Oryzias latipes: one gene and its partners. The protein of the gene in region 5 binds, or shares a complex with, the protein of the main gene of each other region. Links are inferred from orthologs where the notes say so. Each region holds a gene or a part of one and is shown on either strand. Other genes may lie near its edges. The genes, in order: smarcc1, smarcd3, phf10, smarcd1, probable global transcription activator SNF2L2, dpf1 and SWI/SNF-related matrix-associated actin-dependent regulator of chromatin subfamily D member 2.

Evidence for each region.
Region 1: probable global transcription activator SNF2L2 (region 5) and smarcc1 share a complex: the UniProt entries of both Homo sapiens proteins name them as parts of the BAF complex. The link is inferred for Oryzias latipes from reciprocal best matches to the Homo sapiens genes SMARCA2 and SMARCC1.
Region 2: probable global transcription activator SNF2L2 (region 5) and smarcd3 share a complex: the UniProt entries of both Homo sapiens proteins name them as parts of the BAF complex. The link is inferred for Oryzias latipes from reciprocal best matches to the Homo sapiens genes SMARCA2 and SMARCD3.
Region 3: probable global transcription activator SNF2L2 (region 5) and phf10 share a complex: the UniProt entries of both Homo sapiens proteins name them as parts of the neural progenitors-specific chromatin remodeling complex. The link is inferred for Oryzias latipes from reciprocal best matches to the Homo sapiens genes SMARCA2 and PHF10.
Region 4: probable global transcription activator SNF2L2 (region 5) and smarcd1 share a complex: the UniProt entries of both Homo sapiens proteins name them as parts of the BAF complex. The link is inferred for Oryzias latipes from reciprocal best matches to the Homo sapiens genes SMARCA2 and SMARCD1.
Region 6: probable global transcription activator SNF2L2 (region 5) and dpf1 share a complex: the UniProt entries of both Homo sapiens proteins name them as parts of the neuron-specific chromatin remodeling complex. The link is inferred for Oryzias latipes from reciprocal best matches to the Homo sapiens genes SMARCA2 and DPF1.
Region 7: probable global transcription activator SNF2L2 (region 5) and SWI/SNF-related matrix-associated actin-dependent regulator of chromatin subfamily D member 2 share a complex: the UniProt entries of both Homo sapiens proteins name them as parts of the BAF complex. The link is inferred for Oryzias latipes from reciprocal best matches to the Homo sapiens genes SMARCA2 and SMARCD2.

Annotation. Positions count from the first base shown.
Region 1 is NC_019874.2:27,730,751-27,734,348, forward strand, and holds part of smarcc1 (SWI/SNF complex subunit SMARCC1), read right to left. Parts: intron 1,732-3,598; coding exon 1,353-1,731; intron 1,248-1,352; coding exon 1,122-1,247; intron 1-1,121. UniProt on the Homo sapiens protein: Involved in transcriptional activation and repression of select genes by chromatin remodeling (alteration of DNA-nucleosome topology).
Region 2 is NC_019878.2:21,156,928-21,161,014, forward strand, and holds the start of smarcd3 (SWI/SNF-related matrix-associated actin-dependent regulator of chromatin subfamily D member 3), read left to right. Parts: upstream 1-1,213; 5' UTR 1,214-1,496; coding exon 1,497-1,574; intron 1,575-4,087. UniProt on the Homo sapiens protein: Involved in transcriptional activation and repression of select genes by chromatin remodeling (alteration of DNA-nucleosome topology).
Region 3 is NC_019861.2:24,495,917-24,500,041, forward strand, and holds the start of phf10 (PHD finger protein 10), read right to left. Parts: upstream 2,836-4,125; 5' UTR 2,741-2,835; coding exon 2,666-2,740; intron 1,309-2,665; coding exon 1,199-1,308; intron 1,091-1,198; coding exon 960-1,090; intron 841-959; coding exon 757-840; intron 662-756; coding exon 537-661; intron 446-536; coding exon 296-445; intron 195-295; coding exon 85-194; intron 1-84. Other genes in the region: rab4a (ras-related protein Rab-4A), read left to right, coding at 3,245-3,260, 3,872-3,952. UniProt on the Homo sapiens protein: Involved in transcription activity regulation by chromatin remodeling. Belongs to the neural progenitors-specific chromatin remodeling complex (npBAF complex) and is required for the proliferation of neural progenitors.
Region 4 is NC_019863.2:13,904,099-13,908,298, forward strand, and holds the start of smarcd1 (SWI/SNF-related matrix-associated actin-dependent regulator of chromatin subfamily D member 1), read right to left. Parts: upstream 2,814-4,200; 5' UTR 2,778-2,813; coding exon 2,595-2,777; intron 1-2,594. UniProt on the Homo sapiens protein: Involved in transcriptional activation and repression of select genes by chromatin remodeling (alteration of DNA-nucleosome topology).
Region 5 is NC_019867.2:1,061,488-1,065,085, forward strand, and holds part of probable global transcription activator SNF2L2, read right to left. Parts: intron 2,761-3,598; coding exon 2,631-2,760; intron 2,556-2,630; coding exon 2,172-2,555; intron 1,050-2,171; coding exon 951-1,049; intron 860-950; coding exon 613-859; intron 264-612; coding exon 137-263; intron 1-136. UniProt on the Homo sapiens protein: ATPase involved in transcriptional activation and repression of select genes by chromatin remodeling (alteration of DNA-nucleosome topology).
Region 6 is NC_019871.2:18,133,525-18,137,875, reverse strand, and holds the start of dpf1 (zinc finger protein neuro-d4), read right to left. Parts: upstream 2,827-4,351; 5' UTR 2,720-2,826; coding exon 2,613-2,719; intron 1-2,612. UniProt on the Homo sapiens protein: May have an important role in developing neurons by participating in regulation of cell survival, possibly as a neurospecific transcription factor. Belongs to the neuron-specific chromatin remodeling complex (nBAF complex).
Region 7 is NC_019877.2:6,918,568-6,922,662, reverse strand, and holds the start of SWI/SNF-related matrix-associated actin-dependent regulator of chromatin subfamily D member 2, read left to right. Parts: upstream 1-1,281; 5' UTR 1,282-1,748; coding exon 1,749-1,895; intron 1,896-3,954; coding exon 3,955-4,095. UniProt on the Homo sapiens protein: Involved in transcriptional activation and repression of select genes by chromatin remodeling (alteration of DNA-nucleosome topology).

The DNA of each region.
Region 1 (3,598 bases), on a different chromosome or scaffold from region 5:
AAATGCCACGCCAGGCATGACTTGGCGAAGCCAATTTGCAAATTTGCTTTTCTTCGTACCAGAATCCGTTAAAATGGTTGAAGAGATGCGGTTAGGGTTACAAAGAAGTTACAGTTTAAAGAGCGTGTGTTTATTTAGGTGACGCTGGCGACATCTCCAGCGTTTAACGCTTAAAAGAATCATTTTTATTCATTAGCCAATGCCTATATCCAAGGGAATAGTTCAGGTAACCTTCAACACCAGAGCTTGACCTACAGTGTTGCTGTTCTCTGATTTACCGTAACTCTATACAGTTGACGTAATTCCAAAAGATTCTGAAGCTGAAGCTTTGAGCCAAAACTCAACATTGTACAGCAGTGAAGTGTCGACACTATCAATGTAAACTTTATACTTGGTAGACGTAAATGTTAACCAATACGAAGTGTAGCATTCCAGCACAAATCTGCTTTTCTCTGATCGGAATCCACTGGAATTACAAAAATGACACACGAACAAAACAAAAACCCCAAATCTTCCACCACGACATGAATGCAGAATAACTTTCTGCACCTAAAACAAAGGTCAATTTATTTGTAGTGTACCATCTATAGGGATACCAGAAAATAAAACATTGGCATTAATAAACTGTATAATTTATTTCAGCTGGGCGGGCCACAGTTTGCCCACGCCTGGGTTAACCTCAGTCAGCTAGCCTGACGTAAACAAACTTGATCATAACTGGGAGCACTGGATGATGTGTTGATGGCATTTTTTTCTGAATCAGTTAAGACATTTCTGGAATGAAAGCTGGAGCCAAACCAGCACCCCAGCTGTCAGAAACACGACTTCCTGCTACATGAAAAGTTTGACCACATTGGTGCAAAAATAATAAACAACAGCGTTTAGCTGACATTTGGAGTAAATACCAGCTGTCTGCTTCGAGTCAGACGGATGTGAATTCCCTGAACAGGTTTGCTTTGTGGTTTTTGCTTTAAAGACACCTCCCCTCAGGAAAGAGGTTCAGATGAGTTTGTCACCAAAAACAAAGAAAACTATGTTTACCTAATAGTCTGAAAAAAAAAGGCGATACCTTTTGAAATTAGAAAAACAATGTAAACATAGAAGAAGACTTTGGTACTCACACATGCCGTTGGGAGCTCCCGGGTGACGGGGAGGCATCATGGGAGGCATTCCCCCAGGAGGGGGTCCGGCAGACGGTGGCCCGGACATCATACGCCCAGGCATTGGCTGACCTGGTCCCATCGGTCCTACAATGAGGAAAAGACGAGGCCACTTTATTGGAATGCCACATTATGAACAAGAAGAAAGCTAAAATGAAATTCGATGATTCTTCCGAAAACCATTGTCTTTACCCGTCGGTCCAGGGTGGTGGGGGGCCATGGGGTGGTGAGCCATGGGCGGGTAACCAGGGTGCATTGCTGCAGCAGCAGGAGGACCTCCAAGATGGGGTGGAGGTGCTCCGTGGTGAGGTGGAGGCGCTCCGTGGTGGGGTGGAGGCCCTCCAGGGTGCATGCCTGGTGGAGGGGGTCCAGAATGGGGTCCAGGACCCTGGGGCCCGTGGTGATGTCCGGGACCGGGGGGTTGTCCCTGCCCTTGGGCCTGAGCAGCGGCGGCGGCTGCAGCGGCAGCTTGCTGCTCCATCTGCTGGCGTGCCTTCATCTCTGCGTACTTGAGCTGCTCCATGTGGAACGCCTGTCGCTCTGTGAGGAGCTGCTGCCGCTGAAGCTCCAACTGCAAAGAAGGAGCAGTGAATCACAACAACAGTCAACATGTCACACTGCAACAACACACGATCTTTCCAGGTACAGTGGTCCCTCATTTATGGCCGGGGATACGTTCCATTAATAACCTGCAACTGGTGAAATCCACCAAGTAGGATTCTAGTTTTCAGGCTGTAAAACTCCCCAATACATTTTAGACACTTCTCTCAGGCAAACATGAGAATAGACATGTAACATAAATTCCGGGCGATAGAGCGGACCAGATTACAAGCTGCACCCTTTACATTTTCAAACAGTTAGCTGTTTTATACACACACACACACAAGCCGCACCTGTATATCAGGCGCATGCGCCCGTATAAACATGTTGTAGTCTTTGTTCTGCACGTGTCGTACAGTGTCAGAAAGGGAGCTGCAAACGCAGATTTCATATTGTCCTTTCCGGCATTGTAGCCGATTTATTTGAACACACTCACTAACAGCCAAACAGCATGGATCTCACTTCTGTTCACAGCCCCCTCAGTCATGGTTGAGGAACTTTCCACCCACGATTCCCCACTTCCCATGAGTCTAAGAGGCTGAAGGCGAGCTAACCCCCGGGTCACCACTCTGTGTTGTAGATTGAGGATGTGAATGTGCTGAAACCGCGCACACGTGTGTGAGAAGGAGGAGGGAGTGCGTGCAGCGGAAGGAAGAGAGAGCGCGCATGCACCGAGTGAGAGCAAGTGTGTTGGGGGTGATAAATGAAGGTTTCCCCCAGAAGAAGATGAATGATTCTTTATTAACCCACTCTGGAGGCTCTGAGGGTCCTAACGGGGAAGTGAACAACCTTTGGCGGAGAAGAAAGAAAGAAAAAAAAGTAATCGCAGGAAAGGTTCAACACATGATATATTTACAAAGAAAGACGGTACACAGAAAGAGTTTTCAAAGTTTTAATGGTATACCTAAGCTTTTCTTTCGGAACAGCAGCAATATGGTAGTAACAGGGCTGGTTTAAAAAACATGAACGTAAAAGTCATTGAGAGCTTTCTTCATCTTTGTCCTGTGCACTGAAACCATGGCAGTCTTCCTCCTCAGTGTTGGATTGGAATAGCCACAGATATTCTTCGATATTCTTCTCTCAGTGTCTCCTTCGTTGTCGCTGTCAGTGTCACTCTTATCCTGAGGCAAATTCACTCCTGAGCTTGCGCTGTCCTTTCCGTCACGCAGCAGACCGGCTTTTCTAAACCCATTGGTGATGGTGGATTTTTTCACACTGCTTTAACGATTGCTTTTAACTTGAAAGCTGCGTCATATTGTAGTGACGGTCACGTGCTTGTTGGGTCTAATAGCAGCAAGGGATTATGGGATGCGGCCAAAATAGGGCTGAGCATTGGTGTTTCTTTTTGTTGCACTGTGACTGAGGGGTCAAAGAGCAGAAGTGACATTCATGCTGTTTGGCTGCTTGTGGGTGTGTCTAAATAAATCTGCTTGATGCTGGAAATGAGAGTATGCATTCAGCTTCGCCCATATACTCCTCCTGAGACTTTTCAGAGTCAAAAGGTGCATGGTTTCTGGATAGCTTTCCATTGCAGTCAGTTATGTGAGTGACAGTTCAGATGACTGACAGCTAGATCCAACTGCTGTTCTTCTTGAATTCCCCGTGAGTATCTGTTTGTGTTATTCATTCTCAAAGCGGGAATTTACATTAATCTTGCATCCCCCCGTCTCACGCTTACCTTTTCTGCTTGAGCGCCCCTAGCGGGCGTTAGAAAAAAGTGCACAAATTAGCTGCATCATTGAATAAGCCGCAGGGTTAAAAGTGTGTTACAAAAGTAGCAGTTTATAATCCGGAAATTATGGTATATAAATGAAGAGTGGCAGCTGCCACGCAATTTG
Region 2 (4,087 bases), on a different chromosome or scaffold from region 5:
ATTTTCCCCCAAAAATGGAATTTTAAAACATTTCTGTACTTGATGGATGATTATTATATTTTAAGTTTAATTTTAGAGCTTAAACACGCCCCCTGAGGTAGTTTGCGCCCCCTCGTGTTCAATAGTGGAACTACTGGTCCCTCTAGCCCCTCCTGTCTGTTTCTCTCAGGGATATATATTACCATTTGGTGAGACTGATTTGCCTCGGTGAGGTAGATGGTGGGGGTTTAGCAGGGGGTACTTCTTGCACGGGTGTCTTTGTTACCAACAGTGTCGCTGGAGAGGCAGCAGACGGACACTTTCTGCAGATCTGCACGAAAAAGCTTTGACCTTGCAGAAAATAAAGACGAGCGTTTGTGGGTCAGTTTAACTGATGTAGGAAATGCAAATGTAATTTGTTTATGGCAAATATAATACAACATCAGATCATTTTTTTTCAATTGAATGAAACACATAAAATTGTACACCGAGGGAACGGAAAAGGACTTTGCAGTCAAGGTTGGGGCTCGGCTGCAGTTTACTCATCTTACCAGCAGGGGTCGCCAGCAGGCAAATAAAAAAAACCGTCAGTGGAGTAAATAATTCATTTTAGAGCTGAAGTTTATCCTGAACTTTCTAGTAAATGCCTTTAAAATAAAATGTTTTTACAAACTGACACAAAAAAAAACACTTTTAGAAATTAATATAATGATTAATAATCGTTTTGTCCACTCAAAGACACTTCAACCCCTTTGCCATTCAGATAACCTCATGAATATTTTACTGCTCCGGTCTGACGGCGGGGGTCTGGTGGTGGTGGTGGTGGTGGGGGGTCCTGCTGCTTCAGATGGGGGGGGGGGTTGAACGTCCCTGCAGTCACCTTGCTGTTGGTTGGCCTGACTGTGGCCCCTGGCCTGACAAGTGGGTGAAAGGTAAAGGCCGATGAAACGCGAGGAGGAAGTGATGGAGGAGCAAACCGGAAGTGGAGGTGCTGTGGACAGGAAGCCCTCACGTTCATCCTCCGAGTGCGGCGCCTTTTATTTCATTTCATTTTTTTGAGAATGAGCTCGTGTGTTGGTGGCCGGGTGGTGAGCTGCAGAGCGGGAACCGGCCCTCCCCAGCTCCCGCTCCACGGCACGCGGCGCTGCATACCCTTATCCACCAATGGAATGCAACAGCTGTGTGGGGGTGCGGCCGCGTGGGCTGGCTGAAACCCCCCTGCCAGACCCCCCCCCTCCGTCCCTCCCTCCACACACCCCACCTCCGAGCTGGCGAGCGACGTGCCGGGGCTCCTGAAAGGCGGCTCGGCTCGGAAGGGGGGGAGGCAGATCCACTCCGCGTTCCGGGAGAGGGAGGGAGGGAGGAGAGAAGGAGTCGGGGACAGGCAGTGCTGAAAAGGAGAGCACAAAGAGAAGGAAAGTGGAGCAGGGGAGGGGAACCGGAGGCTGGCTGAAGGGAGAGACAAAAGAAGGAGAGGGGGAGACGCAGCGGGGTGAGCGGAGGGGACCGAGGAGCAAATGGCTACGGAGGAGACGGCGGGGGGAGCCAGGAAAGCCACCAAGAGCAAACTGTTTGAGTTCCTGGTCCATGGGGTGGTGAGTGGCGCTGTCCGTCATTCCTGCGAGGCGAGCGGGGCTCCGGCATGTGTGAGAGCGCGCGCGAGGGTGCGTGCACGCGGCGGTCTGCGCGCGGGATCGCTGGGTAGAGTGAAGGTTATTTCCAGCTCCCCGGACCTCCGCCTGGCAGGAGGAGGTGGTCTGAGAAGTGGAGCAGCATGGATGGATGGATGGATGAGCTGCAAAAAGGCATCAGCTTTTGGCTAACGGGGCTGAGGGAGGGAGGGAGGGAGGGGGGGTCAGAACGGGGAGGGGGGGGGGGGTCTGCTTCCAGCTGCCGGTTGGTGGTGGATGAATTTGAACCTGTAAGGTCACGAGACGACCGGATGTAGTATTGTAGACGGAGCCACTCCTGGAAATCATGCAGAACAATCGGCTCATTCATGTGAAGACTGCAGGCGATGTCAAGCGTCGCTCCCGGTTCACCGTTTCCAGGGCCGCGCGCGCACATGGACCGGTTTGTTTTGGTTCGGAGCTGCAGGGTGTGTGTGCGCGTGCGTCTGTGTGAATGATCCACGTTTTTCCACGCAGAGCCTCACATCCACACCACGTTCTGGATTTGATTGATGATTTCAAGCAATCACACCTAGAATCTTAAGCATGAAGACATCCAGCTTAGTATGTCCGATGATAATAAATCAAGAATTGATTTGGGAAATAAAAACTCACAGTTGACATGCAGTAAGAAAATCCTGCTTAACAAGAAACTATTTTGAAATTTTGTTTGAAATAAATGTGAAAAATCTTCGTTAGAGAAGAAATTAGAAGTAAAAAACCTTAATTAAAATATTTTTTTTTAGCAAACAATAGAATTTGTTTAAAAAAATTCCCATCACTATTTGAAAAATTGCCCTCTGATTTTGCTTTGGTTTACTCTTTTCAAATAAGTTTGTGGCTTGAAACTGTGTCAAGGTGAAATCCTCAAAGGTTTTAGCCATTTTTCTACCATTAATATTTATCCCTGCAGAACACAAGAACAATTTTTCTTCTGGGCTGTTACAGTTGTGTGTGTTTTTGTTTTGTTAGTTCATTTTGATCTTCGGCAATTAAATACATCCACAAAAATAGAAGACAAGAAAATACAAATAATTTAATAAAATAAATGAGCTGTGACCAAATTTGACCCCATGGATTCTCCAAGGTTCTTTTAGAAACAACACATTTAGAAACTAGACAATAAATTGACTTTTTTTAGCAGCTAAAAGACAAAAACTCTTTGATTTCACTTATTTGTAAGTTGATAACTCACAATAACAATCTGATATTATTATTACTTATATATATATATTATATTAAGATAATCTTTGTTTATATTGATCGACATTAATCAGTTCTTCTAAACCTATCGTCAAAGCGTTCTTTCTTATAATTATGATTATCAAATCAAAAACGCTTTTTAGCGCTGTCTTTTGTTTACTAGGACATAGTTTCTGCAGGTTTGTGGATGATTACCCATCATCCATCTGTTTACCTGCTGGCTTACAGCTAAAAGACAGATGTAGTCGTCTACAAGTGGATGCATCTAGCTTGTAGCCCACCAAATACAAGCTTCTTCCACAGCATTTTTTCATCTGCTCCTGATTCACAATAATGTGGCTACAGAAATACTCAGAAATGCAGTTTTAAGTTGAATTTATCAGAAAAATCCCACAGGAACATGTTAAAAACACCATTTTCATGGGAGCAGGTCTTTAATTGCAGCACTTTGTCTTTTTAAAGTGTATTTTTCTTTTTTTGTCACTCTTTTCTGAAGATCACGTTTGAAGAGAAAAGGTTTTTTGGTTTTGTTTGGAGAAAATATGAAATTTAATGGTGGAAGAATGGAAAAAAACAATACAAATGATAATAATCTTATCTAATAATAGTAGAACTTTAGTTTTTGTTTTTTTTTCTGCATCAAAAATTCCCATCACTTTAGAATAAAAAAATTAAAAAAAACTCCCAAGTTTTTCTTTGTGCTTTTTGGAAATGGGAAATGCCCCCCTGCCCCCCAAGGAGCTCCTACCTCCCCACTGAAGGAGTTTTGGAGAACTTTCATGACGACGCTCCTCTCCAAGACCCGGCCGCCTGGTCTAAAAGCGTGGGCGCTGCGACGCCGGCGTGGAGGATTTGGATTGAGGCATTGTGCCTCTGACAGGAGCGGTCACGACGCGGGTTCGAGACCCTCTCTGGGGGAACAATGGAGCAGGTGATGGATGAGCCGGACCAGCGTCTCCTCTCAACAGACCAATTAACCTTGATGAGACTCTGGCTGCTCCAAGCCAAATATTTCCCTCTGCTTATTTTCACTCGTGCCGTCCTCCCCCCCGTCTCCCCCCCCCCCCCCCCCCCCCCCCCAGAGCAGGAGATGGAAAAGTCTTGTTATAATAGTTGCGGCAGGTTTCTTGGTGTGCGTACAGCAGGACGGAGAAATATTTATACCATGGGGTATGGGGATGATGTGGGGCGGGTTGCGGCGGGCGGTGACCACGTCTTTCCTTTCATGGGCTAAT
Region 3 (4,125 bases), on a different chromosome or scaffold from region 5:
AACACAATCGTGTATCTAAAATCTATTTACCGTTAACTGAGAGACTACTGTCACTTACGAAGAGCTAACAGTTATGGAACGTACCTTTTATAGTAATCTTGGAATTGACCTGGGATAAGAGCAACAGGGTAGGGTCCTGTTCTGGTTAGTTCTGGAGCAAGAACTTTGAACCTTCCCTGGGGCACCTGAATAACCTGAGACAAAAAGCAGAGGACAAAAAGGAGTTGCATCAGTCAAAAGCTCAACCAACGTTGCACTGATGCAGATTTATTAAACCATCTGCCATTAGACTTACGTGAGTCTGGAGGTCAAAGTAAGCTCTCCTCTCTTCCATTCGCTCCCTGTTGAAGATGCTGTTAAACTCAGCAGCTTTTTTTGCAGCTTTCTTTATGTACTCAGGAACCTTGCTTGCCTCCACTTTCTGAGGGTTCTGCTGCTGCATTTGCTGCAAAAGCACAAGAGAGTACAACTATTTGTTCGTGCGTTTCGACAATTTCTAATAAAAACTAAAGGTTGTTCTAGTCTGGTGTTCTTACAGAGTACTCCTTAGCTATTCTCTGACGCTCCTTTTCCTGCAATATCACAGAGTACTCAGAGTGTTTGGTTGGATACTCCTTTATCATCAAGTCGATCACTTCATCGCTCCGCAAAGCTGTCAATCCTGCATATAAATACAACAGCACTACATTATGTAAGAAATATAAATAAATGTATGAAGTCTGTGCATTAACAAAGAGTTTTAGGGTTGGCTCGTACCCAGGGTGCACTGCGTCTCAGTGATAACATTTTGCTCACGTAGGTAGAGCTTTTCTTTGTGAGACAGGTCTCTCCTCTCCATATCTGCACAAGAATGTTAAAAAAAATTCCCTGGTCAAAACATAATTTGGGCAGTTGCTAAATCAACCGCACTTAAACATTTCCTTTCCTGATCATTTTGTGAATTATTGTTCAATTCTTACCAGGATATTTGCGTTTGAATGACGTGACACCCAAATACTCGCTGATTTGTTCTTGCAGCATGTAATATTCTCCTGTATCATCAGGAGGCCATTTATACTCTATTAGGTTTTCTGCTGGGAAATAAGTCACCCTAGATGAGGAGGTGGGGGCAGGAACAACACATTAGATTTATAAGTTGGTATCTGACGCAATTACTTAAGAATAATGGCAAATTGTAATGCAAAAACAAGTAGCCTACCCAAGCTCTTGGCTGAAGGTGTCACAGCTCCGAGAGCTGTCCCCTGAACCCATTCTCCTCCTTTTCGGTGGCTGGCTCCCATCATTAGATACCTCATCAATTACATCTTCCTACAGAAGTGGAAAAAAGATTCACCAACATTTTTTTTCAAACAGATGAACACCAAAATATATAGAATCGAAAAGCTTATTGTACGGAGCCCCTAAAGGGCCATTGATGAAAAAAAAAAAATGGAGGAAAAAATTTTTTTTTTGAAGTAAAAAAAAATTCTCTTGGAGTAAAAAAAATTCTTTTGGAGTAAAAAAAATTTTTTTTGAAGTAAATAGGAAAAAAAAAACTAACTGGTGCCCACCTGAAACTAACTGGTGCGCACCAGTTAGTTAGTTTCAGGTGCACACCAGTTAGTATCAGGTGCGCACCAGTTAGTTTCAGGTGCGCACCAGTTAGTATCAGGTGCGCACCAGTTAGTATCAGGTGCGCACCAGTTAGTATCAGGTGCGCACCAGTTAGTATCAGGTGCGCACCAGTTAGTATCAGGTGCGCACCAGTTAGTATCAGGTGCGCACCAGTTAGTTTCAGGTGCGCACCAGTTAGTATCAGGTGCGCACCAGTTAGTATCAGGTGCGCACCAGTTAGTTTCAGGTGCGCACCAGTTAGTTTCAGGTGCGCACCAGTTAGTATCAGGTGCCCACCAGTTAGTTTCAGGTGCGCACCAGTTAGTATCAGGTGCCCACCAGTTAGTTTCAGCTGCGCACCAATTAGTTTCAGGTGACATTATGACATTGTCAGTAATATTTCGTGTTTTCAGAAAGTTTATAAGGTCCATATCCTCAACTTTAGCCATTCTCAAGACAACTGTAGCTACTTGGTGCACAATGAGCAAGCAGGTCAACTATCTGATATCTTCTGATACTAACTGGTGCGCACCTGAAACTAACTGGTGCGCACCTGATACTAACTGGTGCGCACCTGAAACTAACTGGTGCGCACCAGTTAGTTTTTTTTCCTATTTACTTCAAAAAAAAAATTTTTAGCTCAAAGAATTTTTTTTTACTTCAAAAAAAAAAAATTTCCTCAAGTTTTTTTTTTTTTCATCAATGGCCCTTTAGGGGCTCCGTATTATTGTGAAAATGGGAACATGTGCAAAACTAGTTTGACTAGGATTACACAGGGAAAAAATTAGCAACACTTTATATTTAAATGGCTACACAATCTAGTTTTTTTTTATTTATATATTTTTTCAACGTTGCAAACTAATAGAGAAATACACGAATAATAGGAGCAAATTACTTCAAGAGGAAGTAATTTGAGCACATTTGAAAACAAATGATTTTGCTAAAAGTGGCTGACAGTTGTCCTAGTGAATGGAAACGTCCGTTGGCTAGCTAGCTATCTGTTAGCAAAACATCGTCATGTTTCCCCGTAAACAACAGCTAATGGATATTTATCAAAGTAGAAAAAAATCACCTTCATGGAGTGCGCCCCAGGAGTAGCGGGACTGCTATCACTTGGTGGTCTAATAATAGGGAATAATGTAGCCATTTTAAGATAAATAATGCCCACAGCTAGGCTAATGATTAGCGGGGGAAACTACGTTTCTTCTTCTTTGGACAACCACGGACTCGGTTGACGTTTGTGTAAATTCAGAGCGCCACCTCCTAGATCCTCCAAAAAATATGTTAAAAAGAGAGAATTTGTACACAACATGCAAACCAATTAATTTACATATAGATAAAACTCTCAGCGAAATGGGCTGTTTTTAAAATTTACTTAGAACGGCGAGAATTTATTTTTCATTAATTGAAACCATAAGAACATATCCAAACATCACCCCCACGCGGTAGTTTGAGGACTATGTGGCATAAGTGTCATTTCAGAATGCTTTTATTTTGAAGAAAAAAAACCCACACACACCGTACAGGAAGTTGGAGGAGGAAATCATAGAATCCAAGGAAATCACCAACAGGACTATTTCCATCACTTAGCAAGCTAAACAAATAACAGTTTCGCCTTTCTCTGCCTTGCAGCTTAGCTGACACACCGAGGATGTCGGAGTCTTACGGTAAGGAGGCTGTCTTGCTTTATACCCGTTAGAATCTCACACACAGATGGCAGGAAAGGGATGATGAGGTCCCTTCGTAAACAAATAGCTAGCTGGCAGGCTAACCGAGCCACTGAGGAGTAGGAAGGTTTTGGCCTTTAAACTCAAATGTCAGCGTTAATAAATCTGCCTTCCGGGTACAGGTGTATTAGTAAAGCTTTATAATGCAAGAAGCTGTGACTATAGGAGATGCTATTGTTCCCGGGATAAGCACTAGGACACAAAGCAAGAGACTCCCGCTTTTCTTTTGCAAACGCAAGTGATGATAGGATATCTCTGTGTTTTGTGAGGCATTGCTCAAATTACACTATGCTACAACTGTTCAATCAATTGAACCAACATTAAACATGATAATTATCTTAGTGGGAGTAAAGAATAAATATATATATATAAGGCTTTGTTCGATCTGTTTACGACACATTTGTCTTGATTTGTATAGTGTAGACATCAGATGTGTACATGTCAACAACTGTATCAAAAAAAAATTAAGAATAGTTGAGTTTATTAATAACAAGGCAGCATATTCAAACCCTGTTTGCTTTATCTATGTTACTACTGTGTTCCCTCTGCAGACTTTCTGTTTAAATTCCTAGTGATTGGAAATGCTGGAACAGGCAAATCCTGCCTTCTGCACCAGTTCATAGAAAAGAGATGTAAGTTTGCTTCAGTTGTAATCACTAGAAAAAGCTTTATAATAATGACACAGTAATTGCCCGACTCTTTTATTTAAATATCTTTAAGGTCCCACTCAAAGACAGTCGTTATTTGTGTGTTTTTAACATATTTTTGTGACATTTTGTTCTCATTATAATGGACATTTATGTAA
Region 4 (4,200 bases), on a different chromosome or scaffold from region 5:
CATGAAACTAGTCTTCATGGGAGGCGAGCTTCTAACAAAAAGGCTTCATCCATAAATAGATTTATTTGATTTGCTAAATAATTACAAGCTGTCATAAGATTGTTTTAGCACATTTAAAGTAACAATTTATTGCGATTTTCGCTGTCTTTTGCTATATGCGGATTGCACAGCTTGATATCGCGATAACGAGAAATTTGCCATTTATCGTGAAGGCCTAGATGGAACAGTCAACAGTATCCTTTAGTGGGATTGGTCTTTAAATCACAAAAATAAACAACTGTAGCCAAATCACTGCCTTAGTGAAAAACATTTTTTCATCGAAAGTCTTTTAGATAAACAGACTTCAACATAAACCCACTAGGGTTCAATCCAAATTCTTCCCCTACCCCTCCAGCTTCTCTCTTTCCCTCCAATTGTAGGGGCATTTGGGGGTAGGGGTGTTAGTTTTTGGAATGGAAAACCTTCACTGCGCGGAGGGATACGGAGCCCTCCAACGCAAAGGTGTTCCGCATGTTCTGTGCCGCAAAAGAGAAACGTATCTCTGCAAGTGGGTGTGCCTTGAAGCACAGAAGTTTACACGTAAATGTAAGTAAATACTTTTTGTTTTAGCATGGCTTTTTAATGTTCTAAAACCCACGTTATTTACTTCTGATCGCCACCCGCTAACGTGGCTGACCGACGACGATTGATGACCTCATCGAGTCAGAGTGACGTCTAAATGACTATTTTTATATGACACTCCATTTGGAGGGCTAACTGTAGGTGTAGGGAGAAGTAGAAGTGGGGGAAGAACTTGGATTTGGTCTAGGTATTGTAAATATGAAGTCTGAACATCTAGGACACTTTTAAAACCCTAAAAGAACTGCAGAAATGTAAACTCTTTCTCTTAGTCTGTTTCAACACAACAAACATCTTTAGCATTAATGTTAAACTTCTTGAAAACGGTGACAAAGGTTGCTGCGTACACTACTCCACACTAAAATTTGAATCACCAAACTAGCTAGCTGTACTTCCACGTTCCATTTTAATTTATGTTAGCCCGCCACTAACAGCTCACTTCCCTCATCATTTTTCACTGCCATGTTACTTTCCCCTCAAGTTCCACAATTTGTTTCCACCAAAACATCCCCGCCTAATAGAACTGGACTAAGTGACCCCCCACCCCCACCCCGGATGTCAAATAGGAAGTACCTGCTCGAACGTGTGTAAACCCCGCCTCTAATGATTGAAATGTTTAATTGACAGACTCTCCTGAGCCTGCTTTCAGTGGCAGAGATGTGGACTAAGATAAAAGCTTAATCCTGATTGGCGACAGGAGTTGCCATAGAAGCGTCGACTCCTACAGACGCAGGCTCATCACCGTTTACTTAGGTGGTCTGGCTCCAACATGGGGATGAGTGTACTGCAGATCTAACAGCGACTGATGGATTCATTTTGCTGGAGCTGAAAGTAAGGCGTTTTTTTTTTCTTTCTACGGGTGACGTCAGACTCGCTCAGTCCAGTTCTCTTATACAGACAATGACATCACCACCCACCTTTCCATCAATTAAGAATCAAACGATCTTGATAGATTTATAAATAAGATACTTCTCCATTCCCTGCTAGTTTATAAAAATAAAACATTTTTTGAAGTTTTTCAAGGTTAAGATCTTCAATTTCTAAAAATATTTATCATGCCCTCAAGTAAATTCTGAGTTTACCTCATTTGTAATTGGTTAAAAGTATGAAGACTCCTCTCAAAATTGGGTGCATGTCTTTATTTTAAAAAAATTAATTCAGGTTGGTAGGTAGGTGGGTGGACTTTTAAGTTTACCATGCCCCCCCCCCCCCCCCCTTTTTAAGTTTAACAACTGCAATGTATGAGTAAACTATGTTGCGTGTACTTTAATAGCAAAACATTACCAAGCGTTGTATTATTAACAAGTAGAAGTTCTCGACGGCGGAGTTACACCTAAAACCTGACCAAAAACTCAATGGTTCCGTTAAGTAGAAGTCAAATCAAATGCCAATTTTTAAACGTCAGCAAAGAGAGACGCGACAAATACAAGCGGGTTTTCGGAAATTACCTTTCAGCAAATTTGAATTTAGACTCACATGACGGTAGCAGCCAGATGTTTTCGCAGAGTACGGTTCCTGAGAGGCGGACTTTTTACTTTCAGATTTCCCAGAGGAAATCAATGGATCCCGTCAAAACGAGACGTATTCATAAAAGTTGATAGATTTAATCAATCTGTATATGCCAGTTAACTCCACACAATCAGTAACTAGAGAACTACGACGAGCGTAACACAGTAACTAGTTACTAGTTAGCGTTAGCAGGCGAGGTAGCACAGTTTCATGTAAGCTAACCTTCTGTTAGCGAGCGGGAGGTTTAGCAAATTCAAACATGATAAACTCATAAAAGTCCGCCAGAGCGCTCGAAAAAAATATTTATTAAAAGTCGATTACTTTTAATGGGTTTCTTAAGTTCTATTGAACTGGGCCTGTAGGGGGACGGGGGTTAATGTTAGCCATTGGCGACAAAGCAGCGATGAGTGGCTTTGTTCTACTAGCGGACCGGCTAGCATTGACGCAAAGATGGAGTGATAACTCACCGGGTACCCAGGCCCAGGCATTGGAGATCGGTACATGTGGTTCTGACCAGCCGAAGATGGACCCATTCTTCCAGTGGGAGTCCCGGGTCCCATGCCTGGTCCAGCACCGGGTACAGGTTGTCCAGGTCCAACAGCTCCACCACCACCAGTCGGTGCAGACTGAAACCCCCCTCTGGACGCCATCTCCTCACTAGATGTCGCCTCCGGTGGAGCAAAGGAACTAACGCGAGAGCAACTGAGGCGTTCACTTTGCGATAGCGCCCTCTACTGTTCTCTTTTGACACTGCACGATTGCCCACATTAAGAGACAAAGGATAATTGTGGGGTATGAAGGCGTAATATAGGCTATTTCTTAAAAAAAACATTTAGTATGTTCCTTTATAATATTTTAGTATTTTTCGTGAAGTTTTTTTGTTTTGTTTTTCGTGCTATTTTTTTTAAATACAAGAGCAAAAAACAACAAACAGGCTGGGCAGCTACTCATGAAAACTACAAGAAAAACTATAAAAGTATAGTTCATGTAGTTTAAAATATGTATTAATATATATCAATATATACATGTATATGTATTAATATTATTCATATATAGTTTAAAATATATATTAAAAACACGAAAAAATCTGTCTGGTCTGTAGAAAATAAAACAATTAAAATAAAAAAAGAAAGAACATTTTAATTAGCTGGAGTAATACAGTCCTGACAAGTCCTAACAACCAGCATTCAATTTACATGATTATATGCACAAGAATAAAGTCAACGGGTAGGCCAACCATATTGGAGTAATTTAGGACGCTATTAAATTGTCTTCTTTCTTTTCATGTGAATTCACTAATCTGTTCTATTGCCTTCTATATGTCTTTCATTTATCAAAACAGAATACATTGTTTTTCAATTTTCTCTTATCGAACAAAATAAAACTTAGAGCAAAACAAAATGCCCCAAAACATTATTAACTTTTAAAGAACACATTTAAAAATAAAAGTTTTCATTTTAATTTAGGCTACAGTACAAAATCAATTGGTTCAACAGTGGATTGCTGATATTTTTCATTTTTCATAATATATGACTGTTTTGCAAATGAGAAAATCATTTGATTTTTATTAATGTAACTATTCATATTTTTGTATCATATCCTTTAAAAAAACAATCATGTATGTTTTTAACTAACTTCTATTTGTGTACATATTTGCAGGTTATTTCTGAATGTTTTTAGAAGGTTTTATAAAATAGAAATCTTGATGATGACGTTTTCAGCTACAGGATTGTTTCTTTCCATCATTTTGCTAAGTAACATGTGACACTTTTTGTCTCTACAAGTCCAGAACTTGACTATGTTGAGATAAACACAATATCTGGAGTAGAAAATATTTTCTTTTCAACAACACAACACCTGGTATTTTGTGATGCCTGTTTGTTTGGGCTTTCTGTTTTCTGCTAGTATATACGAGAATCAGAGTAAACCTAATTTCATGGGTCTTTACTTCTTTTGTACTGCAGAAAGAAAAATGACATCAAACAACCTTGTGTAAGGACAACACAAAAAACGATGTGCATTTTTGCTTTTGGGTGAAGTTGTGGAATAACATGGAGGAATGATTAAGAATAT
Region 5 (3,598 bases):
CTGTTTCATAGTTACACTGTTTCAGCGTCAGCCTGTTTGATAGTTTCACTGTTTCAGCGTCAGCCGGCTTCTGATGATTTGACATTCTGCTTTACGTTAACATCCATAGCAAATATTTGGTACATATTTGCCGTACCTGCCGCTGAAAGTTGAGCAGACGGAGCGCTTTGAGCTCCACAGTGGCTTTGGTCCTCAGGTCAGGAGGCAGAGACCCCGGTAGACTCTCCAGCTCCTGGATTCGGTGGGCGATGCGAGCCTGCAGCCTGAAGAACAGTATAAAGACAGATGTGGTAAAATAACCCTAATGATACTAAAACACAATAAGTCAAACAGTAAAGCCAGTCTGAAATGCTGAAATGGTGACTATGACATGAAAAAGAAGCTAAAGCTTTGAGTCTGATGAACAACATAAAGCGCCTCACGCGTCACACGTCTTTAATGAGAAAACGGATCAAACAGCCTCCATAGTAACGCTCCCAACCTCAGAAAACTGAGAACGTTTGACATGAATGCACTTTGCATGACACTTAATGAGTTCCTGGAGGAAATGGTCACCAACCTCCACTGTAAACACTGAGGAAGCATCATGGAGGTGTGCGAGCGCATCCATACCTGAACTCCCTCTCCTGCAGGATCCCCATCGGGTCCAAGCCCTGGGGCTTCTGTATGGGAGTGATGCGGTTCTGCTTCTGCTGCATCTGCAGCATGGGAGACACCTGCTGGCCCGGTGGGAGTCCAGCTGCCGAGCCGCTCAGTGCCGGCCCCGGAGGCACAGCGGAGGTCTGCGGCGGCGCGGGAGAGGGACGCCCGCTGGAGACGGGGGTGAGGTGTTTCTGCACGTGGGCCTGATTTTCTCCACCTGTCAAACAAAGACCTTCAACTTTTCTGAGCCTGCTTAGCCAGAAGATGTTTCACCGCTAAGACCCGAGGCCGGCAGGAAGCAGACTCACCATCACTCCACGGCTTGGCTGCACTCTGATTGGCTCCCTGCATGGCAGGCGCCGGGCAGGGGCTGGCCTGGGGGCCGCCCATCTGCGCCATTGGCATCCCTTTGGAAGAAGCAGATGTTGGATGAGTTTGGTTTTTCCATGAAAATACTGAGGTCACATTTTGGAGCCGCATATTTTCAGATCCAGATTTTGATGGTGTGACTGATTTAAAGCACAACGGTTCAGGGTCCAGGAACTCTATTTATGATATTTAAAATGTGAATTTTACGTGTTTACATCGTGTATTTTTGGGATTCACATTAAATAGCATTGGGGATTTTTATGAGGAAGAGCAGCTGCCTCCTCAGCACAGCTAACGGGGATCCTATAAATAATAAACTGATAATCAGAATTATGAATGTGCAGACTTTTTATCCCCGTCACATTAGTTTGGATGTAAAACCCAAAAGATGACTGCAAACATTACAGAGTTCCCTCGTGATATTGTGGTTCACTTTTTGCCGTTTCTCTGCTTTTTTCAGAGCAATTCTGTTTTTGTTGTTGTGTTTTTAACAGCGCACTGCGTTCTGGGCTGTCAATCAAGCTTCTCTGCGCCGTGAAATATGTTCAGTTTACCAAACATAAATCTTTGACTGGGATCAGAGCTTTGCTTTCATTCTATTATCCTGGACGTATTTTTCTATAAAAGTTTTAAAACAAAAGTGTGAAAATGTTGGTGTCTGTCTGGGAAAAGTGTAGAACGTCTGTTGTGAGACGTTTTACTGCCTCAAATCTTTTGCGGGTTTAGAACAGAACTCCTGCCATAAATGATGGTTTTTTCCTTCAGATTCTGCTGCTGCTCTTCATGATGACATCTTTAACGTTTGAACTTTTTTAAACCTGGACAAACCAAATCACAGTAAAAGGTTTTGAGCTCCAGTTTTAGCTCCGTGGGATTTCCACCTCGTCACCAGGAGGACCTGCCAGCGCTCCGGGATCGTTCCACAGGAGTCCCTCCACACCTTCTCTACAGCTGTAAACCCCAGAACTGTGCTCATGGAGGTGGGAAACGTCCTGCTTTTTACCTACAAGGTGTTCCACAGCCCCGCCCCCCCATACCTCCACTGTATGTTCCCTCTTTCAGTTCAGGCTTTTTCTTGGTAAGTTTTCCTTTTTATGCCTGTTTTTTAACGATGGTGTCTTTACATTGTTTTTGTTTGACCTTTGTTTCCTCATCCTCACCTGAAGGTCTGTAGGGGCTCACACTCGACGCCTGCTGCTGCTGCTGCTGCGGTGGCTGCTGCGGTGGCTGCTGTTGCATTGTGGGTAGGCTCCTTTTGCCTTGAACGGCCAGCTGGAGGTTTTCGGGCAGCGGCTGTCCGCGGGCCAGAATCTTGTAGGCCAGAATCTGAGCTCTGAGCTGCTGCAGCTGGACCGGGCTGAAGGCAGAGGGTCCGCGGCCCTGCTGGCCCATGCCGGCCATGCCTCCTTCCATGGGCATCATGGGACCTGACTGGGAGGGAGGGATGTGCGGCGGCGTGGGTCCACCTCCACCTCCACCTCCTGGCATGGGGCTGGAGGCGTGCTCGTGGACTCCCATGGGGGAAGGATGTGGAGACATGTAACCTTGAAGAGAATGGTGACACGTTGGAGCATGGTGGATGGATGGGACTCATGGTGCGTCCGGTTCAGACCCGTTACCTTGGCTGTGCTGGTCCATGGGGCTCTGAGGAGGACCCATCCCGCTGTGGAGCGATCTCATCCCCACACCCTTCATGTGCCCAAAATGCATGGCTTCTGTCATTGACTTGTCAGTCATGGCCTCCATGGGCTGGAAAGGAAAACATTCCCAGTTATTATACAATATTAAAGACTTGGTAGCCATATAGGGAACGTTGAGTTAGAAGATCAAAGCTCTTCCGGAAAAATGTTTCCTTTATAGACATTTGTGGAAGATGAAATCCCTTTTCTTTGATTGTGGATCAAAACACAAACATTTTGGGTAAATTATGCTAAAATCATTCATTCATTTAGACCCAAACGTTTGACACGATCAGTAAACCTTCTTCAGGCTGTGATTTGAAAATCAAACTAGACATAAATCACTCAGACAGAGTCAGCCAAACACGGTGGGATTGTCAGCTGCAACATCTGGACATTTTTAGCAGGTTTTACAGCTTTACACTTTTACACATCTGGAATGTGACGTGTTGGAAAAAAAACTCACGCATGACTTTGAGTAACAGAGGCGTCATTTCACAAAACTCTAAACGACTTGACTGATTTGGGAAAAACTATTGTTTGAACTAAACTGATGGTTCTTCAACAGCAGGCGGACAGTCTCAGCCTAACAACACATTCAGAACAAATAACCGTTTGTGGAGCCAGTACTCCCCCCATATTGGTGGGGGTCAGGGACCAGAGACAGCCACGAATCCGCAGAATTCTGAGAACCACCTCCAGCCCCGCGGGTGAAGGATGTCCGTCACCGATCCTTCCTCATCCAAACCCTTCTGGAACATTTCTGATGCTTTGTCAAACATTTACTGAAGAACATTGGAGTATTGCTCAACATGAAGAGTTTTTTTTCCAGATCAGTAGCCTGTACCGTGGCAGACTTTATAACATACATTAGGAGCCCGTGTTCCTCCTTCATGGGTCCTGCAGAT
Region 6 (4,351 bases), on a different chromosome or scaffold from region 5:
GGCCGGGGCTTCAGCCGTCACATGGGGCTGTTTGCACACAGAGCCAGTTATTACATGGAACTCATTTAGCTGGGCTCAGTCAGGCAGGGCAGAAATATCATTAGACAGGACCTGCCACAACTGCCTCCAACACCACAGCACACACTGATCTGCATCTCCCCCTTTAACCAGCTCTCTGCTGAAGGAGATGCCTCATCCACTGCAGCTTTGACTCAAACAGTCTCCTGTGTGACTCCAAAGGACACATTCACCACTTTTAACACCGACATTTCAGGACAAACGCTCAAAAGTATGGGAGGTTCACATTGTCTTTTAAGCTAAATAAGTATTTGCAACTCCACAAATCCATTTCAGTGGCTTGCATTTAACTGAAAATAAATTCCTCTTGAGCAATCCTAAAATTCTATATTATATATAATATTTATATATAAATATTGAAGGGAAATGTGATCAAATGCAAAGAAAGCTCCCCTCACTGCTGCTCGCACTGCATTTGAAAACACGGTGCTGCCATTGATTCAAAATGCAGAAGTCCTGTGGAAAATGGGCAGAGGAGAAGGGAAAGCAAGGCAAAGAGGAAATGGTTAAACAAAGGGATGGACTGAAACAAGTGATGGATTGAGAAAGTGGCAAAGAAGGAGGGAGACGAGGAGGAAGACTGGGCAGAGGGGGTGATGGGAGGACAGAGAGGAAATCACAGGAAAAAAGGATAGAGAGTAAGAGAGATTAAATGATTCTCTAATCCAGCAGAGAGAGGCCGACTGGATGAAGCTGGTTTGCTGATATGCTTTTGCACACACATGAAACCCTCCACTGTACGTCCACACACGTCCAGCCGAGCATGAGCGGGCTGCACAGCTTGGCTGGATCCTGGGCATCAATGGGAATTAACAAACACGGAATTAATTGCAATTTACTGCTGAGACTCAGCTAGCTTTAAAGACATTTTGGGACACAACAGGCTTTGTTTCTGCCTCCGGCACGCAGCCAGCCCCCCCTGTTAGGGCTGACTTTGAACCAAGTCTTTGGTTCTTTGGCTCGATTCACAGAATGGGGGCTCTAATTTACAAGTCTCCATAACAAGTTTGTTTGCAAACATGCTAATTTCAAGAGTGTATATCAGAGCTCATTTGGTGCTTCAACCAGACCATGATAAAGTCATCTAGAGGAAAGACCTCTAAACCTGATGCAGACTTTCAGCTTTTTAAGGGTTCTGCACTGAAGGTCCAAACAGACACTTTGTCATCCCTCATTTGGACAGTCTGTGTTTTCAACACTAGGATGTAGTTCATTATCCTCTGGCCCAGCTGCCTTCTGACTTTTTTCCTCTCATTTTTCTCCTGTTGCCTCCCAGTTCTGCTGCAGACTCCTTGCAAATCAGTCAAATGAATCCCGACATGGTTTCACTGAAAGTCTCTGGGCGCAACCTGGCCACACGGTTGCTTAGCTTGGGCATGCAATGGAGGAAGAGTTGAAAGTGGAGAAGAGAAAACAGAGGAGAGCCACATCCTGAAGATTCTCCATCCCAACGTCACCTGCCCGCCTCAAAATAAACATTTAACAGTCAAATAACAGCGACTGTGTGGATGGAAATGACCCACCTGACGATTCACTCATGATTTGAACAACAAATGGTGAAATACCATCACAGCCATTCAGAGCAGTTTCTTAATTGGCAGTTCCGTCCACGCTCCAAACTGTTCGTTGATCTGGGTTTGCGTGAAATGTCGCCGGCGTGTGCGCGCCCCGGCGCGGTCTGTGCGCTCAGGTGAAGCAGCCGAGGCGCGCAGGTCTCCAGACTTTTCTTTGTTTCAAACTGCTACAGTTGGAGCGCTGTGGTGCCGGCGGGTTGGTGCCTGCGCCTTTATGCGTTATGCGGGGGAGATTAGTGCCAGCACCCGCTGACAGCCGCGCGGTGGCTACCTCTGTCTTTGGCCGGGAGCATCAGCGCGCGCCGCTGCATTCCTCCAGAAAAAGACACCCCCCCCCCCCCTCCTTCCGAATAAAAACATGTGCAAAACGGACCGTTAACGGACAAACTTTAGGGAGAAGGGGCCGCTTTAAACACGCCACCGGCTGATAATCATCTCACTCTAGGGTACAAAGCGCCGGCATCCCATTCAGATGGAGTCAGCGTGGGAGACGCAGTGTATTTACCTCCGCCTCTCCATCTCCCACAGGTCCAGTAGTTCGGCTGCAGCCGGAAAGCCGCTCCGAGCTCCGTCCTGCCTCTAAAGACGCGCGCTAACAGGTTCTGGAGGGCCATGTTAGCTCGACTCAGCCCCCAGCCTGGATCTGACCGATCTTTTGGGTTCATACACCGGCAAGGGACATGCCGGGTCACCCAGAGCTCCCCCAGCATTCCTCCATACGCGCGCGCGCTGCTGCTGGCTCGGGTACGGGATGTGAGGAACCGCAGCGCATACTCAGTGACAAAAAAAAGGACACCGACACGAAATCCCGCAAAATAGGCTAACTTTTCATTGGCATCATAATCTCGGTCTCCGCCGTTTACATCAAGCGTGTGGTGGAGCAGGATCAGAATTAGAACATAAGGAGATGACGCTGACAGCATGCTCGGATGTTAGGAGCGGAGAATGAACGGTACTCACGATTTGAGGGGGTTCTGCACCGCTGTGGCCATTTTGATATAGTGTGATAGAATGCAACACCGCAGAGCCGGTGGTTTTCTACATGTAATGTAGCATTTCAATTTCATTCATTCTCTGGGGCTGCGGCTTCAGCGCACAGCCAATGGGAGGCGGGAGCGCACCGTGGCTGCTTGTGGGAACTGTAGTTTTGGCGCACGGCGGCGCGGAGGACGGACAACAGATGATGACTACAAATACCGGCGGGGGTAGGGGGTTCCAGTGGTTCAGCGACCCGCCTCGTACTTGAAAGGTAAGCAGAGCCGTCCCTGTCCTAATGTATAGAAAAAAAGTCCAGTTGAGCCTGGTGGAGCTTCGGGATGGAGATCAGCCTCACATGTGAGGACAGAGGTCGGGACTACTGATCCCACACAGGAATCTCGAACAAAAAATAGTCTTAAAGGATTCAAACAAAACTGCATTTGGATCATTTTTTGCCTTGTGCACAGGAGGGGGTAGACATCACAGCCTGAAACACTGGAAAATCATAAAACAAGTGTGCATGATAACTTTCAGATGTGGTTGGATGCACAGAGCCGTGTCTCAAAGCTCCGAGCACCTTTAATTATTCATTAATAGATTGAGAGTGGGCATGTAATTGATTCTTTCAGACATTTGTCTGTCGTTGCCTCCTCGCCTGAGAAGTGGGAACCCCTCCAATTCGTGCTGTTCCTGTCGTCTGCTGCAGGGATGGACGGAGGGAGGCAGGAGGACGAGGGGTAGGAGCAAGGAGGCCTGGATTTGTCTTTACAGTTTGGCAGTGGAGCCACAGTAGTGGAGCCACCACTCTGAATCCAGTGACATGTGATATTTATAGATCTGTGCTAACAAATATTTAATGAACATTAGCAAGCAGCTCGAAAAGGCCCCACTGCTCAAACCAAACGCCCTGCGACAGTTTTTGTGTTATTTGTGAGGAAGATTTTCAAACAAAGGGAATGTTTTGAAGGACAATAACAAATACATCAATACTGTCCTAAATTAAACTTTATTTTATAAAAATAAACGTATTGGAAACATGAAATAATTCACAGATTTTTTTTTTTTTTTTTTTGAGTGAGGAAATCATGCCGTGATCGCTGATTTCATGAATGGCAAAGCTGCCTTTTACACTTTGACCACAGGGTGGTGCTAAAGCACTCTATCGCACAGAATGTGGGGGTGACGTCGAAGTTTACGTCCTCCTTCGCCCCGCCCTCCGTACGCACGCTCTGTTGTTGTGATTACAAGTCATGTTGAAGTTTCGTTTCTTCTCCCGCGTCCCGATTATGACATAAACACCTGAGCAGCGATGTCTGAGGTCCTGATGAAGGAAATTGAGAGAGTTTCCATGAAGCCGGAAGAGGGTCCCGGCGGCGCGCGGAGTTTCCTGTTGGTGGACGAACAGGAAAACCTGCAGGTAAAGTTAGCCGTCAACAGTTAGCCGCTAAGCTAACGGAGAACCCGCCTATAGAGAGGCCTCTGTGTGTTACAAACGTGTTCAAGCTGATCCAAGTGAAGTCCGGACAAGTAGACGAATGAAAGCTGTCAGTTGACATTGGAGGGTGGGGGAGGTCCAGGGCTTCGAGTAGGAAAATCCCCGGTGAGTCATGCCGGGTGCCTGAACCGCTAGGGGACGCAATAACGTTGTTTTGTGGCTGCAGCCATCGATGAGTTATATAGCGATAACTCATTGGCAGGCATAGACCTCGCTTAGAATCGGA
Region 7 (4,095 bases), on a different chromosome or scaffold from region 5:
AAAAATTTGCTACCTTGGTTTGAGTGTCGCTGGAACCCAGCTTTACACTTCCTCGCTCTGGTGACATCACTGCGACTTGGCCTTCAGCGTTTTTGAACGCTGGACAGGATTCTCAAACCCATGAATTCCAATTATTGTAAAATCATTTATTTGCAAAAAATCCTAAATATAGAATCACTTTATGAATAAGATCTGGTAGGAAAGTGTTATGCTTTTCTATTGCTTTGTCTGTTTTGTATGGGGTGTTCAAGGGCAGCTGTTTATGAGTGGGTGGACTGAAAGACCTTTTTATTTTTTGTTTCATGCTACTGAAAAGTTTCATTAATTGACCCTCCCGAAGAACCAGCTGCCTTTTGTTCACAAAAGACAGTAATCTCTGCATACAGATACAAATAAACCTCAAATTTTCATATTAAATAAAATGCTGAAAAAGAAATCTTGTAAAATTCTACAAAAACATGTTTCCATAAGATGTTGCAAAAAAAACTTTGCAGAAAAAACTGTCATCTTAAATCCCTGAGGGCATTTAAGTTTTTTTATTTATTTAATTTTTTTGGTAAATGTATTTAATTATTTTCCAAGGACAAACTGATATTATACAGGGCTGATGTCAATTGTAAAAAAATATAAATAAAATACAGACTACAGTATTAAATTTCTAGTTTAATATGCCATACATATGAAAAAAAGTTATTTAGCTGGGGTCAGTATTGCTGACTTGCCCTAAGAAATGTGTTTAACACTCTCATTTAAAGAAATTCCAAATCCCTATACTAAAATTTAAAAATAATAATTTTATGCCATTGTAAAGGGGAAGAAAGCAATTCTGGCGAGAACTTTCATAAACCTTAGAGAAGACAAGTCCAAAGAGCAAGATGATTGGCCATGTTTTTTCTGAGTCGTATTCTCTTAATATCCTGTAGAGGGTGCTGTTGTGCGTACTTAAGGAAATTTGTTTTCATTCATCTCATAATATAATATAAATATAAATCCTGATTTATTTTGCCTTAGATGTATTTAAAAACTATTTAAAGTATTATTTTTGTTTAAACATGACAAATTATATGTAAATTATTACTTGAGATATGGTTTATTTGTCAGTCCGTGATATCTTTCCATCACTTTTGTTTTGTTTGCAGCTTCTTTTATGAGCATGTACTTTATAAGAATGTAATAAAAAATAAAACTTTCGATAAAAAGTTCATGAGAAAAAAAAACGAGGATACCGTGTGTAAGAGTTTGACTTTCAGATTTCAGACGGCAGTGAAGGCACCACTTAGTATTGCATGTAGGAGTGTACGACAGGACAAATTCGCGTTTTTTTTTTAATTTATTTTTATATTTAAGCGTTTAAAAGACACCGAGTTTTTTGCTAAATCGGGCGTTATTATTGTCTTAAGTGAGCCTCCCCGTTAAAATGCGGAGGGACAGTTAGTTGGACATGTTAAGGAACGCAGGCAGGGGCGGGGGTGACGAAGAACAGTCGCCGCTCCGTCCGTGTTGAGAAAACCAGCAGTTAGAGCCCGGAACTCGAGCTGTTAAAAGCCGAGCTAATGTTAGCTAGCTTTTTGTTGACAGCGTGCTTCCTGTCAGTGTAGCTAGACTTCTACCGACGCGGCGACGGTTATTTCCAACTCATTTATTTATTTATTTCTGGATTTTCAAGTGACACTCGCTTCCCTCGCTTATTATTGGGCCGTAAATCGTCGGGAGTTTTTCGCGGCACTTTCAACCACTTGTAGCTCCGGATGATGGCATCGAAAGGGGGGTTCACGGGTCCTCCGATGAATCCGAACTTGAACCCCATGAATGTCGGACACCCCACGGGGATGAGAATGCCCGGAATGCTGCAGCCCCCAACGGGTTATCCCCGAAGTATTCCCCAGTTTGCCCAGGTTTGTTTTTATGATTGCCTTCTTCTTTTTTCCCCTCCAACTATTTCTATTACAATACAAGAAAAAGCGGCCAATTCTTGTCAAAATGTCATGGTATGGAACTACTTCCGCCATTGAAAACGGTTATAAAAAATTCCCGTCATCAGTCAAATGGGTTTAACGTGTCATTGTGGCACCAGAGAACATTAATTGGGGGTAGAGGTTTTAAATATTCTGGCCTTTGTGAATAAATGTACTCTGTTGAAGTGTGAACGGGGTCACGTGGGTGCCCTTGGCCTCCTGTCAGTTAGAGAAAACAAAAGGAAGTTTATCATCACCACCATCTATCCAAAGACCACTTATACCATCCCTGTTCCAGCACCATCTGGGCTTCATTTGGACCCGATTGTATCCTACAAATTAGAACCATCAAAGTTCTGATGTATGTTTTTCTGTGAACGGTTCATAAAATGTCAAACTTACTCACTGTCCAGTCTTCAAAGCACATTTTCTTTTCATATAGGAAATAAGATTGTTTGACAGTAAAAGAACTTTGAATAAATATATTAAAGTCCCACTCGATCCTCGTTGGATCTGCTTTAAAAACCTTCCCAGTGGAGTTTTGATTATGATTATCCCAGTTTTTAGGAAATAGTTTCTGCACAGCAGCAGTGGTTCATTAGACACGTGTGTCCGAGTTGTGGGCGGAACAGTTGAGAGAGTGTAAACACCTGGATGATGGGAAATTGTGGCAGGCTTACTCCACTGGCAACAGCTCCGCCCACCAACAGTTCCTTACAACCCCAACATAATATTTTCGGTGTAACAAAATGGCGAGCAACGTCGGGGCCATCCAGACGTACAGATTTGAGCCAAATGCCTGATTCACAATGATTTGAATAAAGGAAACACTCAAAAACACCATTTTAAGCTTCATTTAATTCATGTATGTCCTCCAAGAACATGTTAAAAACATCAAACAAACATGATTTTCATTGGAATGGGTCTTCAAAGTCAAAATTGAGTTCTCAAGGACATTTGGCAATCACATACAAACTGATTATTTTCTTCCATAAAATAAGCCAACAAATTGTAAATAAAGTGGGGCAAAGCTGAAGATGCTCCATCTTCTGTATGAATTTAGTGGTAGGATTTGAAGCAGATGTTTCCTTTTGTGTCTCACATCCTTGTGTTGGAATCTTGGCCCGTTTCTCACTGCAGCTTTGCTTCAGCTTTTAAGAAATGTTACAGCTCTTGTTTCCTTGGAGTGTTTCATTTGGGTTGAGGTCCAGACTTTTGCCAGGCCGTGTCGCAACCTTAACCGTTTCCCTGTGGTGTGACCTGAAGTCAGCTCAGCTTTGGCTCGCCGACTCACGCTCTCGTGTGCTCTTGGTGTACTCTGATTACAAATGAGTTCATGGCCATCTCAATATCTGCAAGGTCTGCAGAAGCCGTGACTAAAAAACAAAGCAGAATCGAAAGGCCCTCATTGCTGTGCTTAATAGAGCGCAGGAAATGCATCTTTTTATTTGTTTAAACAAAATTCTATGAAGGTTCAATTGTAAAAGTATTTATCTTTACTCGTAAAGTTAAATTGTAGTTCAGATTGACATATTTAAAAAAGTTTGTTCCAATTATTGATGAAAACTCTTAGTTAGTAAACTATAATTATTGTGTTTTTAGTTATAAAAGTTAATAAGCCATAATTAGTCCAGTCTATTTTTATCCAACTAACATCAAACCATACAGTTAATTTTAAGAAAAGAGCCCCAATCTTCTCTTTTTATGTTTATTTTGAAGCTATTTAGGTGGGAAACAAAAATGTAAAAAAGTGTAAATGATTGCTTTAATTGTAATAAATTATCGATAAGAAAGATTTAGACATATTCAAAGTAACTTTTCTTTTGTTTAACAATGTTAAAATCCAAATCAGCTCTGAGTTAGACTGAAGGTTTGTGTTTCTACCAGAAATGGACAGAATGGATCAAACTCAATAGAGATCAGCCTCACGTGGGTCAAACGACACGACACGCCAACTGCTTTTCCCTTTTGTTCATCAAACTGTTCTTCTTTCATCCAGCGCCCTGGAATCCCACCCAGCAGGATGGGGGGTCCTATGGGGGTAATGGGGAGTCAGATGCCCGGTCCCTCTTACGGTGGGGGTAACCTTCCCATGCGGCCAGGCATGGACGCGTCAAGAAAGCGTTTTCTCCACCACCAG